2 linked regions of the Lytechinus pictus genome follow. The protein of the gene in region 1 interacts with the protein of each later gene in a pairwise test. Links are inferred from orthologs where the notes say so. Each region holds a gene or a part of one and is shown on either strand. Other genes may lie near its edges.

What was found. The genes of interacting proteins can lie anywhere in the genome.
Region 2: the proteins of syntaxin-16-like (region 1) and proteasome subunit alpha type-6-like interact in a two-hybrid assay, tested with the Caenorhabditis elegans proteins (3 studies listed by BioGRID). The link is inferred for Lytechinus pictus from reciprocal best matches to the Caenorhabditis elegans genes syx-16 and pas-1.

Annotation. Positions count from the first base shown.
Region 1 is NC_087246.1:49,417,867-49,424,702, reverse strand, and holds the start of syntaxin-16-like, read right to left. Parts: upstream 3,011-6,836; 5' UTR 2,882-3,010; coding exon 2,801-2,881; intron 1-2,800.
Region 2 is NC_087251.1:30,306,858-30,314,649, reverse strand, and holds the start of proteasome subunit alpha type-6-like, read right to left. Parts: upstream 3,028-7,792; 5' UTR 2,650-3,027; coding exon 2,574-2,649; intron 1-2,573. Other genes in the region: uncharacterized protein LOC129264587, read left to right, coding at 6,951-6,996, 7,557-7,716. UniProt on the Caenorhabditis elegans protein: The proteasome is a multicatalytic proteinase complex which is characterized by its ability to cleave peptides with Arg, Phe, Tyr, Leu, and Glu adjacent to the leaving group at neutral or slightly basic pH.

The DNA.
Region 1 (6,836 bases):
ACACACCAAATTATATGAGCCAAGGTTAAGTTAAACTGAAGTTATCGCGTTGACAAGGAATGCAGAAGGGTAAGATGAAAACATGTCACTGTGACCTTGACTTTTGACCTCGAAATCAATAGGGTTCCTGGGATCCATGCTAGTAGTATACAAACCAATTTATATGAGCCTAGGTTAGGTTAAACTGAAGGTATCACATTTACAAGGACTGCAGAAGGGTAAGATGAAAACAAGTCACTGTGCCCTTGACCTTTTGACCTCGAAATCAATAGGCTTCCTGGGATCTATGCTAGAAATACACACACCAAATTATTTGAGCCTAGGTTAAGTTAAACTGAAGTTATCGCATTTACAAGGACTGCAGAAGGGTAAGATGAAAACATGTCACTGTGACCTTGACCTTTTGACCTCAGACTTCAAAATCAATAGGCTTCCTGGGATCCATGCTAGCATTATACACACCAAATTATATGAGCCTAGATTAAGTTAAAATGAGCCTAGATTAAGTTAAACTGAAGTTATCGCGTTTAAAAGGACTGCAGAAGGGTGCGATGAAAACATGTCACTGTGACCTTGACCTTTGACCTCAAAATCAAAAGGCTTCCTGGGATCCATGCTAGTATCATACACACCAAATTATATGAGCTTAGGTTAAGTTAAACTGAAGTTATCGCGTTTACAAGGAAAAGTTAATGGATGGACGGACAGACGGACGGACACCGAGCATGGTACCATAATACGTCCCGTAAGACGGGCGTACAATAAAAAGGTTTGTGGGCTACATTTTTTTCTCTCTACAAATATAGGGCTTCACAAGTATCTCATATATGTTCAAAACTACAATTTTGGAGCATTATGGTATATTAAAAGTAATCCTGATATGCAAATTAGATCATATATTGGATATGTATAATGTATGACTGTGCAAAAAATATCTAGCATTTATTCAATAGATGGAGAGAAAATGAGAAAAAAAAAATTCCAAACATCTTGATGTTTCGATCTCAGTTGCAGGTGTGCGCTGACTAAATATTTAAGCTAAACCTGGTGAGTCTTTATTTCTTTATATCAATCACATTTTTATATTGGACCAGAATCTCTTCTCCATTTTTCTGTGATTTTCTCCTGCTATAATATGCTGCAAAAGAGAAAACATAATGCATACTCTAGGTTTTAGGATTCAAAGAGGAAGAAAGGAAAAATCATTGTTTTGTATCTGGATTTGTTATGCATAATTTATTTACTTCACCATTATGAGTGCGTGTCTATATGTTGTAGATCAAAGTAAAAAAGTCCACACAATGCAAGAATAATACAATTCATTTATCCTCTTTCAATCATTTCATATTATCAATGATAGAACAATATATATTTTACCACAAATCAATTTGCAAAGTATAATAACAGCAAACAAGGTTTACATACAAGATGTACAAAGTAAAAGTAACTTAGTGGTAGTGGCTGCAGAATTAATATTTCAGAAGTTTGTTTTATTCATTGTTTATTCATTTATTCATTGTTGTAGGGAACAGAAAATCCATGTCGACATGTCGCATAAAAATTAATCCCGACATCGACATTTGGAAAAGGGACCGTAATTTAGGCTCCCTAACAATCATTCGATCATGGCACATAACACTCTCAAATGTAGTCACCTTGACACGAGTGATATCCCCACACTAGATCTAGATCTATACAGGCTCAGTTCAGGAAAACATATTTTGAATAAGCTAGAGTGAATTTACTTCCAAAATCGCCGATTTAATCCACATTTATTCTGGAGAATCAAGTTTTTGTACCACGATCCGGTCTCGAAAGCATTGCGCAATCACACTCGGAGCCAATTTGAGAATCACCAATTGCAACAGTGATAATTGCGTATTAAACGCTGGTACACATGTGCTGCAAACGCAAGCTCCTCAAATTGACAATAAAAATAATAAAAATTGATCGATAATTTCAGTACCACCTCTGCGGCGATCCAAACAAAGGAAGGAAAGTTTTCTGTGACTTCGTGAAATGAAGCGCTCAATTACAGCAGTCACAACTTCGACGAAAACATTTGTTCGCTGCTGCTCACGTCTATGTGAAAAGTAATACATTGAGGAGCAGCGTATTATCAATATCAACGCATCGATAATTGCATGGGTACGGTGAACGTGAATGCTGCTCGCTAGCACGGAGCAGAGATCAGATGATCGTCAGGCTTGGGCCCCGCGCCGCACCGACGTATTTCTGCTGCCGCGCAGCTTGCAGGCATTCTTTATTAATTTGATGCGCTGCTAAAAATTGCGCCAAAAATTAAATTACTGTGGATAAATGTTTCTAACTTTTCAGGTAAACTTTACATTCGTGACTTAGGCTAGACCCCTTTTTATTTCATATTTACATGTCGATGTGGGTGCGTGAATGTCGGAAACATTGAAAATCCTTCGTATGTCGATATGAGGCCATCGACAACACTCAACAGCACTAATTCAATGACATTCACATTGTCATTGATCATGTTGATTGATGTTTTTCTTTATAATTTTTGGGCAACCAAATAATTAATAAGTTAATGTGGATTTAGAGATATGTTTTTTATAGGAGCATGTCGAATCAGGAAGATAACAAAAAAGAAAACAAAGATAAGTCTTAAAGACAAACGCGATTTTCATACCGGCCGTGCAGCTGCCCTTGCCCGGATGGAGAGCCAGCCACCGCACCGGTCACCTTCGCGAATGATCCTACCCCGACAGGCCCGGGCAATATGATTGTGAGCGTTCGGTAAAACATTTGGGTATCTACCGGTACTTACATGGTCCGAATATATGTGTCTGCTCTGCGCTGCATTGTTTCTCATTAGTATGAAAACTTCTGTTAGACTTCTGGAAGCCATTGTGATGTGTTTCCTCTCTCAAAATTTGATCAGACCTGTTCAAAAGAAGAAAAATTTATGGATTTATTGTTGTTCCACGTAAACCATATTGACAGGTTTCATGTAATTGTACTATTCATCAACGTAGAGGGCGGGTGACGTTAAAGTTTACCCTGACAAAAATAGAAGAAAAAAAAATAAGAAGAAATAATAATAAAAAAAAAAGTTTGAGAAAAATCCATCCGTCAAAGAATAAAACAAGTAATTAGAATTTTCATCATTAGATCATATGCGAGCAGCTTTCCTACATATCGTGTGGTAAACAAATTAAAGAAATGTCATTTTCTCAAAATACTGTACCTTTGGTATATATCAATTGTCAAATCATTTCACACCCGGATCCAATAGGGGGCGAGACCCCCCCCCCCCCCTATTGGCGGAGCCAAAAAAAAGACAAAAGATGGAAAGAAAAAAAAAAGAAAAAAGGGGGAAAGAGAGGAGGAAAAAAGAGGGAAAATAAGAAGAGGAAGACGAATTATTTAAAATAAGGTGAAAGGAAGACTTGGAAAATAAAAATTTTCGCGCTCGCATTAATTGTTAAAAATATATTAACCTCTGCATCCTATTCATGACTACAAAAGTGCTTAGAATAACCAGTTTTCAGGCTCTAATATCAATAAATTTCTTGCTCTCATTAGGCTTATTAGATTAATAAATTAGATCATTGAATCCCTATAAATTGTCCCCCTTTTCAGAAAGGAATATGTCGAGTAAGTTTCATCTCCCGCATATTAGGAAGAGGAATAGGAAGATAGCCACCATTTTCATGTGATGACAAAATGTCCTTGAAATGTGTGAATTAGGTAAAGAAAATAATTTTATGCTCAGGTGCTTGCCTCCCCCTCCGTTTTACTAAAAATAAAACATCTGAGGCAGCTTAACTTTTTTTTATTATGTTATGCTTATTATTATGTACCACATTGTGCAACGGAAATCGATAAATGTAATGAAATGATGAAAAAATGTATTCAGAATGCCCAGATTATAGGTTTAGATCTAAAAAAAAACACGCACGCATGTTTAAAGAGATATACGCAGCTTCTTCTTTATTTAAAGGGCTGTTCAAGGCTGAAAATAGTATGATTTGAACAGATAAAGAGAATTAGAGAGTCAAAAGGGGCCTATAAGCTTTCGATCCGAGCAGAATCTTCGTCGGAGGCAAAATGACAAACATATAAAGTGGAACAACCATGTAATATAGACCACAGACAAGCTACAGCAACACTAGAAACAAGGGTACAAAAGGGACATTAGTGTGTAGAGAAGACCAATCAGGTTAGTGAAAGATAAAGAAAAATCAGATATTAACAAAACACTGAAAATTTGATCAAAATTGGACAAAGAATAACGAAGTTATGATATTTTAAAGATTTGCATTATTCCGGTGAAACATTTCTAGGCACGGTCTTCTTGAATTTATCCCCACTTCATCTTTTGTATTTTATTATATAAAAGTAGGTTTATTCAATTTTTTTTTGCCTCCAAACATAAAAAATATCGGATTGACAACTGATTCAGTGCATTAGATATTTATTGCTGCAAACTATATCATAAGAAGGGATACATGAGTGACACCATTTCACACATGTATGAAAAAAATCAAACAATTATGATTTCATGCAATAACATATAAGAAAAAGGGTAAGTGACATCATCAGCCCATAATAAATATTCATGACGATGTGCAGATAACGTTTTTCACACAATGGCCCGAATTCACAAAGGTGGTTTCATTTAAAACCATGGTTTTTGCAGAAACAACCTTTGTGAATTCGGGCCAATATGGATAACCTTTAAAATTCAATAACTTTGCTATTTGTTATCAGCCTTGATGGAAATTTCTGCGTTTTGCTCTCAGTGAATTTTGCTTTATCTATTTACATATAAATACATTGCAGAGTATCCCTTTAAAACGTGCTTAAATTATCCGGTTTCGAATCCGAATATAAACAAATTTCTGCTCGCTTTATCAATGAAGGAAGATACCCAAATTGCCATCCTTTTCATGATTTACAAAACATGAATAGAGTGTTTCATTTTTAGGTCTGAAAACTTATTTTATTTCCGCTCATGCTTCGTCGCGTTGGCATCAATTGTTATATATACTGTTCATGATTACAAAAATTGCTTAGTCCATTTCTTTTTAGGTCGGAATGTCAAAAAATTTTTGCTTGTGCTTTGCGCTCGCATTATATAATTGTTGAAATATTTATTGTCTTTATGGCTAACTACAAAAAGTCCTTTTCGATCAGGCCTGAACGTACATCAAAAAATTCTAGTTACCTAACGTTACGCATCTTGTTCAGGATCACAAACATCTCCCAGAATGTTCAATTTTCAGGACAATAATCGTTCCATTTGTATAGCGCAACTACTATAATTGCATATACTCTACTGCGCTTGATACTTGGTATCATTATAAAATACATGAAATCTAATAAAAAATTAGCTCGCGCTTAATTCGCTCTCGCAATATTTCAACAGGGCTTATGAGATTATTAGATATTTATGTCGTTTTAAAAGAATATAAAGATAAGAAGTGACTGTAAGGACAACCCCTTAAAAAAAAAATCAAAAATCAACTTTGAGCGGCCGATCGGGGATAATATGGGTGAAATATTTTTTGCCCCCCCCCCCCCATCGGCGAAAGCTGGATCCGCCCCTGAAGAGGTTAACATTAATTTTAAATTATTATCGTTTATAGCTATACATCTTGTCCTATCTTGTCCAATGCATCGTTTTCTAGATGCCAGGATTATCTGACTGCACTTAAACTCAAGTTTTCTATAATTCGGGAACTCGGTCCTCTAGTCTATAGGGGGCCGGTGTTGCAAGAAAATTTATTTGCAATCAATTGCAAATATTCTGTTGCAAGCTAACAATTGATAGACCAATTTCAACTGTAGGAAATCCGATTACACTGCTTGTTTCACGAAACAGATAAGAAATCAATTGCAAAGTCACAATTAATTTCACAACTTATGATTCATTTAGAGACCAAAAATATACTTGCAAGTTTCTTGCAACGCCCCATTTAGAGCCCTAAACTAAAAATCATCGCGAACTCATCAGCTCGCGCGCGCGCTCCCATGCATCCTCCAGTCGATAATCTCTTCTTCCCAAATCTTCCACCACAGAGCAAGAAGGAGGCGGGGCCTTTGTTGATCAGCTGTAGTGTTAGAGCGCCGTACTATTTGGCAAAGAAAAGAGGGGAAAAGAGAGCCAGTGCCGACACTGAGTCTTGTCGACTGGCAATAGGTAAGTACATCAATTTACTCCTTATGCATAATTTGAAAACTGATATTTTTGTAAACCAAAACCCTTAATTCAAAAGGGGAGATTTGCCATCATCTGTTGTGTCAGTGATGTTGTCTTCAGTCCCATATGTTTGTAACTGTGAGAGTTGGTTTAACTTTATAATTATACTACTAGCCTGCTGGGGACTAGGGACTGCATTGACACACTGCATTGACACAGAATCTCCGAATTTCACGATGTTAAGTAAAGATAAATTCCAGTTTTGGTAACGATCTCAAAATGACTTTTTACAGAATCTAATATCTTAATGACCACCCAAGTGTCTGTTTGTATGAATAAAAAATATGTGCCAAAGGATTCTGGAAGAAATTGTGTAATTGCTGAGAAATAAGCAAAATAAGCGCGGATTCGGTCACTTCCGTCGGGTCTTTATTCCAGCAATAATAATACACTGTCCCACGTGTGCCTATCTGTGTTTGTGATCTTCAGTGTGAACATTTTTCAGCGTAGATTTCAAGATTTCACAAAGTTCAGTTTATGTAACTGTACCAGATCTAGATCCTCGATGATATACTGACAATTAAACCTGGTTTTACAGACTTTCTCATGAAATCAGTGTTTACTGCAACTACTGGAATTTATCTTTAAGTAAGAATTT
Region 2 (7,792 bases), on another chromosome or scaffold:
CCCCATATTTTTAACATTTTAACGGCTTTAGAATATATTCCTCTGCAAATCTAGAGAATATGATGAAGATGACATGGATTTTGAGTGTTTGGGAGCAGAACTAAGGAATCTTTTGTATTTTAGACATTTCGGACGGTATAGCCTTTTGCATGTTTTCGGCGCATTTTGGGCTGTTTCAAGCAAACACGCAACTCTTTAGACACTGATAGTTTAAAAACGGGTACATGGACCCTATATTTTTAACATTTTAACGGCTTTAGAATATATTCCTCTACAAATTTAGAGATTATGATGAAAATGACATGGATTTTGAATGTTTGGGAGCGAAATACGGGAACTATTCGCATTATAAACGGTATAATTATTATAGACTTTTGCCCGTTTTCGGCGCATAGGCGATTATCAAGCCAACTCGCAACATTTTGGACACTGATAACTAAAAAAACGAGCACATGGACCCTATATTTTTAACATTTTAACGGCTTCAGAATATATTCCTCTACAAATTTAGAGATTATGATGAAAATGACATGGATTTTGAATGTTTGGGAGCAAAATACGGGAACTATTCGCATTATAAACGGTAGTATATACTTTTGCACGTTTTCGTCGCATAGGCGATTTTCAAGCCAACTCGCAACATTTTGGACACTGATAACTAAAGAACGAGCACATGGATCCTATATTTTTAACATTTGAACGGCTTCAGAATATATTCTTCTACAAATTTAGAGATTATGATGAAAATGACATGGATTTTGAATGTTTGGGATCGAAATACGGGAACCATTCGCATTATAGACGGTATTATTAGACTTTGCACGTTTTCGGCGCATTTTAGGCGATTTTCAAGCCAACTCGCAACACTTTGGACACTCATAGTTAAAAAACGAGCACATGGACCCTATATTTTTAACTTCCCTACATCTTTCATATACATTCCTCTACAGTTTAGCCATATTTGATGAAAGTGACATGGATTTTTAATAAAGTGCAGCTTAAACTATACTTTTTTAATTTTTTAGTAGATTCACGTCTTTGAAGATTTGTTTTTTCCGAGTTTTTGCACCATTCCTGCCAAATGAGGGCGCTGCTGAATCCAAATAGATATAGTTTTACCAATTAAAAGACTTTCTCCTACTTTGGTATCTACTAAGTTACACATCCTGAAAGTTTGATGTGATATCGAGAGAGTAAAGATGATTTAAACTCATTTGGCAAGGCTCCACATTAACTTTTTTTGGTGGTGGCCCGTTCGGGCCACCAAAACCTTCAAATAATTTTTTTTGGTGGCCCGATATTAAAGTTTGGTGGCCCAAAAAATATAAAGAAAAACATTAAAAATGAATAAATGGGTATAAATGGTTTAACCACTGTCAAAAAAAATGAAAGAAAATAATAAAACGGCAAAAAAAGGTGTGAGAAAATTCCTTCCCTATATTTGCCAAAATGTTGGAAAAATTAACATTTCATATTAATGAAATGCCTTCCCAAAGTATTTACTTTCTCAAGAGTTGTTTAAGAAGTCATTTTTATTATAAACAAGAAAGAATTAAGTAACTGTCTGTTTAGTTTTGGCTAGAAAAGACCGGAAAAGACACAGCTTCGAAAGAAACCAAGTAACAACATATATACAAATGCACACGTGGGACTGTGATGTTCTCACCTATGTGTTTTTATGTGTATTATTTTCATTTGGAAATCGGTCTTTTTGAGTCAAAAGAGAGGTCATGATTCCTCTTTTTAATGCTTGCAAATAATCAGGATACACCAGATTTTAGCAACAAGGTCTGTAGAAGGGCATTTCATTGGTGTAAAATGTGACTTTGACTTGGATTTTCAGTTCTGTGGAAGATTTCATAGCAGCAACATTTCGTATTGCAGCTCCCCGAGTCTGAATAGGCTGTTAACGCACAGCTGCTTGAAGCATGCAAAGCTCACGCCAGCCGGCGCGGCCGGCTGGATAAAAGCTACTTAATGCTATAGCGGTAGGCCTACTTTGTGTGTGTGTTTGTGTGTAGATCAACAAAAAGGGCGCATGATGAACTGGCTTGCAATTTGAACTGTAGAAAGTTGATAAATGCGTGCAAAATGGGGAGAAAAATTGCGCTATTCTGAAAATTATTGGTTGCCCGATTCGGGCCACCAAAACTTAATATTTTTTCAATAATGGTTGCCCGATGTGAATTTCTGGTGGCCCCGGGCCACCGGGCCACTGCTAATGTCGAGCCTTGCATTTGGTGAATTCGTGAGGTCTAAGAGAGGCATAATTCTCATGATTGCGCAATATTTCATATCATTCAAATACGGCGACTTTGAAGTCCCGTAGAAAAAAAATAAGCACATGAACCTATATTATTTTTTGCATTTTCATAATGCATAGATACCAAAGTAACTCTCTGCAAAATATGGTGAAAATGACATGGACTTCATTTTAACTGTGGAACGTCCTTAAATTGACCTTCTCTTCCTTCCCAATCCCACTTTCCTAACAAAGTAACATAACAATAGGCTACATTATTATAAACATGTTAAAACAATTCCAGCAGTGCCAGTGAGCAGGCTCTACTTACCAACTTGATACAGCCGCCCTTCTGGGGAAAAGACAGTAATGAAATGATCAAACCCAGCACTTGATCCTCGTGACATTATCAAAACTTAGCTTTGGTTTGGGGAGAGCAGATTTTGCTTTTTGGGTGTTGTTTTTTCCCCCTTGGCCTTGGCTTCGTCGAGATCGGATTAACGTTCCGGCGCGGCGGTGGTGGCTGGTGCGATGTATCTTCGGCCAAGACTCTCGAGCTCTCTTCAACTTGGTTCAAGTTTCACCTTCCTGGCAGCTCGGAAAACTACGTAAATAGTTGTTCTTGATCTCTTGATAGAAGATTTGATCTCAAACGACGTAAAATTTCAATTAACAATTGATAATCATCCCCTGAAATATCATTTGCCAGTCGCAGTTGTTCTCAGGGCCAGGGTTGCAAGTCACGCACGTTAACGTTCTGTCAATAATTGAAATAAGCCATTATTATTTGCTTGGTATTTTGTTGCCAATTTAAAGATCGTCATACACTTAAATGATCTGTAAGCAATGTAACAAAACCGCGTTGTGAGGGAGGCAAGTGGGGGCAAGTGCCCATAAACAGCCAAGTTAAGTGGTGAGGGGGAGTCGAATTTCATTTTAAAAATACCCTCTATGAAAATTATAACAACTACATGTATGTAAATCAATCAAATAACCCATAACTCATTCTCGAAAATGCAACTTCAGCATCTAGTGAAAAGTCAATTAAGACATAATTGATTAACTGTTAGTTCGGGGGATTTATTTTCAATTGCTGGCATTTTTTGTGCAACCAACGTAGTTGATCAGCGGAAAACAATACAGCGATACTAAAATAAAAACCCCAATTTGATAGTCCCGGGCCCCACCACTATTTAACCATCCCCCACCTGATGACACCTCACCCCACTTGGAATGAGAAATACTGCAAACAGATGTTATAAATCGATCGCATGCAAGGCTAAGTCTTTAAACCAATCATAATTATTGCAATCATTTGCGACTGATCTTGTTCTTTAATTGGTTCTTTAAACCTCTAAAGTGGTATGTGTAGTTCAAGTATATCACTTGCAAATTGCAACTGAAGTTTGAAATCAATTGCAAATACTGCATGGTCAGTGTCGGACAGCTCTGTTTAACCAAGGGGCGGATCCAAGCTTTTTGGAAAGGGGGGGGGGGGGGGACACATTTTCCTGAGGAAAAATTTGACAAGCAAAAAAAATTTGACAAGCAAAAAAAAATGGTTTTAAACAAAACTTGGGTATTTAGTTAACGAAACAATTTGATAAGCAAAATGATAAAAAAGGTCTTCACTTTCCGGGGGGGGGGGCACACTTCTGTTTTAAAGGTATTTTTACATTACAAACTTTAATTGCGCCTCTCAAAGGGGGGGGGGGGGGGCACGGGCCGGCTGCCCCCCCCCCCCCCTGGATCCACCAGTGATTTAACCGCAGATGATATCAATGCCGTAAAAACACACAAAATGTTCAAAAATATATATATGAACAAACGAAGAGCAAAGGTTATCACAAAGGAATTGCTATTTGATTAACTGTAGCTTTAAAAAAATTGTGAGCATCTCAGCAGAAACATAATTTTTTTTTCTTCAAAATTTCAGGGGAGATCATGAGGGGGGTAATTATACGGCCATATTGGTTTAAAGAAGTTATCGGATTATATAATTCCTGTAAGTTTGCGTTCATTTTACAAATTTGATATTAACTTTGCATGGGCTTTCTGCCTAGGGCGTCCCTAGAAGGGGAGGCGGGCTCCAACTGAAATCTAATTTTGCTCTTCATAAAAATTGAAAAAGTAAAAATAACAACTGTAATGAACAAGAAAATTCTTAATCATTTCTTTTGCATTTTTTCGAATTGTGCAGCCCCATAGCAAGGCCACACTGTTAACGAAAGAAAATTAAACAAAAAAGATAAGTGGAGTGAAATTAGTAGATAAAGTAAATGATCATATTGTATAGAATGGCGATAAACAATAATAATGGTTTTAAAAAGTAACGAGTAGATAATATCAATTAATTGATGATAGATGAAATCAACAGATTCAATTAGCCCACCATAAATTTAATAATTATTGACAGGAACGGGAATGCATGATACATGGACCTATGGGCCATGCATGAATAGATGGATAGATTGGCATGGGCGCATTGACGGGTGGATGGATGGGTGGAGGTAACAAATTTAATCAATGGGGAATATGAAATTGGTAAGAAAATATAGTTTAATAGATCTACGAATTCGTCAAATTATTACACCAACAAAGCATGAAGTTAGCATCAAGAGCTTTTAACGGGTAAATAAAATCGATAGTTAATGTGTGAATAAATAAAAACATCAAAAAATACAAAATAAAAATAATTGAATCAACGAATCAATTAGTTAATCAATCAGTAACAATCAATTATTAGATTGCTGTCATATAACTTTCAAAGTTTATAGATATAGTTCATAAGATATGGATATAGGGGACAAGTCTTAGGTCGCATGATCAAGGCCAAATGTCATTTTTTTGTCAATGAACGTAGCCACTAGCGTACCTACGGGGGGGGGGGCAGGGGGGGCACTCTGCCCCCCCTGACGAGCCACATCCCATACAAAAGTCATATACCTGCCCCCCCTGACGAGCTTGAAGACCTTTATTGCCCCCCTGACGAGCTTGTCAAATTTTTTTTGGGTACAAAATCCTTCAGTTGTGATTGAAGACCTTTTTTTTTTTTTTTTTTTTTTTTTTTTTTTTTTTTTGCTTGTCAAATTTTTTGGCGGACGGTTTTGCCCCCCCCCTGTGAAAAATCCCAGGTACGCCACTGAACGTAGCATTGTATCATTATATGAATGGTGTTTTTTGTGAATAATTATTTTATAGCCTGTAGTTTCAAAGTCAGCACTGTTGCTATATTGAATCGCGCGATGCAGTTGAGACTGCCAGAGGCGCTCCACTTGTTTTTTCTCTTTTTTTTCTAATGATATGATTACTTATTTTTATAGCCTGTAGTTTCAAAGTCAGCACTGTTGCTATATTGAATCGCGCGATGCAGTTGAGACTGCCAGAGGCGCTCCACTTGTTTTTTCTCTTTTTTTTCTAATGATATGGAATAGTTTAATTATGTATGATTTGTTATTTTTGTATATACTTGGTTTGTGTTGACCCAATAAAACATATAAATAAAAAAAATCAATTAGAAAACATTCAAGATAAATTAAGCAATGAAAAGTTAGATAAAGCATTAGATAACTAAAAAAAATAAATAAATAAAAAGGTAGATAGAAATGGATTGATCAGCAAATTGGTATACCGTAACAGATATGGCACCAATCATTTAATAGTCGCTAATTTCTAAAACTATAACAAGTTACATGCTGAAAAACTTGATTTTGGATTCGATTATGAGACTAAAAAAAGACTAAGGGTACGTAATGACTGGATTTCTTTATGATAGATATCATGTAGACATAATAAGGGTAAGAAAAGATTCAGGATAAAAACGTAACAATCACTGAAGCAGCTGTGGTACCTTCCCTGAGCTGTGGCTGTAATTTCTGTGAGTGACTAAACTGCCGGCTGGAGCTGTGTTGCACCCCGGCCACGCCACGTCCACCGGCCGGGCTACGGACCCGTGATCTAAGCGCCATGAGTTCGAGTGCCTAGCCGCTGGCACGGCATATAGGTAGGTATAGTCGCGGGGATTACGTGTGCGCAGCCAGGAGGCTTCTAGAGAAGAGAGTAAAAATCATTTACTAAAGTAACTTATTATGCTTACTCTCTATGAAGCCAGGGATTCCATTGCAATCTACATGTAGCCTACCACCAAAAAACCTCAAACTTTCGCCCCCGAGTCCGAGATATACTTTCCTTCCAAAAGATCTAGCCCTAAAATGGGATACAACTTCATTTCTACGCTATCGATTTCATTTTTAAACGAGAATTCATTAAAAAAATGAGAAAAATATTATGAAAAGACGGGGGAGACTTGCCCGAATGTTTACGCCACCATCTTGTTTCTCATCGTTGATCGTTATACGGCCGCGGCGTGGTTCTTCACTTCTTGCTTTTAAAATTTGAGTCTCGCTTAAAGTTAACGCTCATGTCATAATGTCATGTAGGTGAGGCAAGAGAAATAATTTCTTAGCTGATTTCTGATGCTGTGAATTGAATTTGTGATGTTTTGAGAACTTAATTGATGTTGATCATGATGATGACGTCTTTTTACGAGGACCTGAGTGATGTAATATTTCTTATTAGGCTTAATTGGTCATGATTGTATTTTTATTTTCATTCAAATAATTGTTGATTAGATATGCATGCCTAACTTAACAGGGTTTTCTTTTTTATTTCCTTTCCATCTTCAGTTTTTCATGGAGGATCACTCAAGATGGAACTAAATTCTACAATGCAAGTTCTTATCATTCAAACTGGAGGTAGGTGTTTTGAAGAATGTTGGAATATGCTTTCAATCATCTACATGTATTATTGAACTTCACTTGTCTATATTATAAAATTTATACTTCATTATACTACATGATATCTTAACCAGTTAAAAAACCAACTGAAAATGTACTTGACGAACTCTTAATCAGTTGAAAATAACTTAGTTTGATTTAGGAGCATTTGGAAAACTTCAATTCAAGGCATATTGCCGCTTTGCCAGGCGATTTTTATCTAGGGATGGGATGGGAGGGCAAGGAGAATTTTTTTTTTTTTTTTTTTAATAACAGCTAGGCCTCTAAATCTATAACCCTCTTTTTCTCTTTTATATTTTTTCTATTACTTTTGAAGTCATGAATGTTGGGGCTCTCTGGTTGCAGCACATAAGAGATGCCACTGATCTTGCATATCGTATAGGGTAAAAATTGAATAAGAAATTGTTTTCAATTCTAATTTTTCATTTGGATTTTTAACATTTCCTTCACATAGATTTCTTAGGATTTTCTTTAGTTTTTCTATTTGTTATTCTCTCACTCTCTCTTTTGATCTGCAGGAACGATTGACAAGGCTTATCCAAAGAGGAAAGGTGTTTATGCCTTTGAGATTGGGGAGAGTGCAGCTAGGGGCATCTTAGAACAGCACAAGGTGCCTCTCAGATTTAGATATGAGACTGTGTGTCAGAAAGATAGCCAGGATATCTCTGATGAGGACAGGTAATAAATCAAAGAATTGAATTTTGATTGTGTAACCTGTATCATTTCCTCTTTTTTTTAGGTTCTTAAAGGCCAG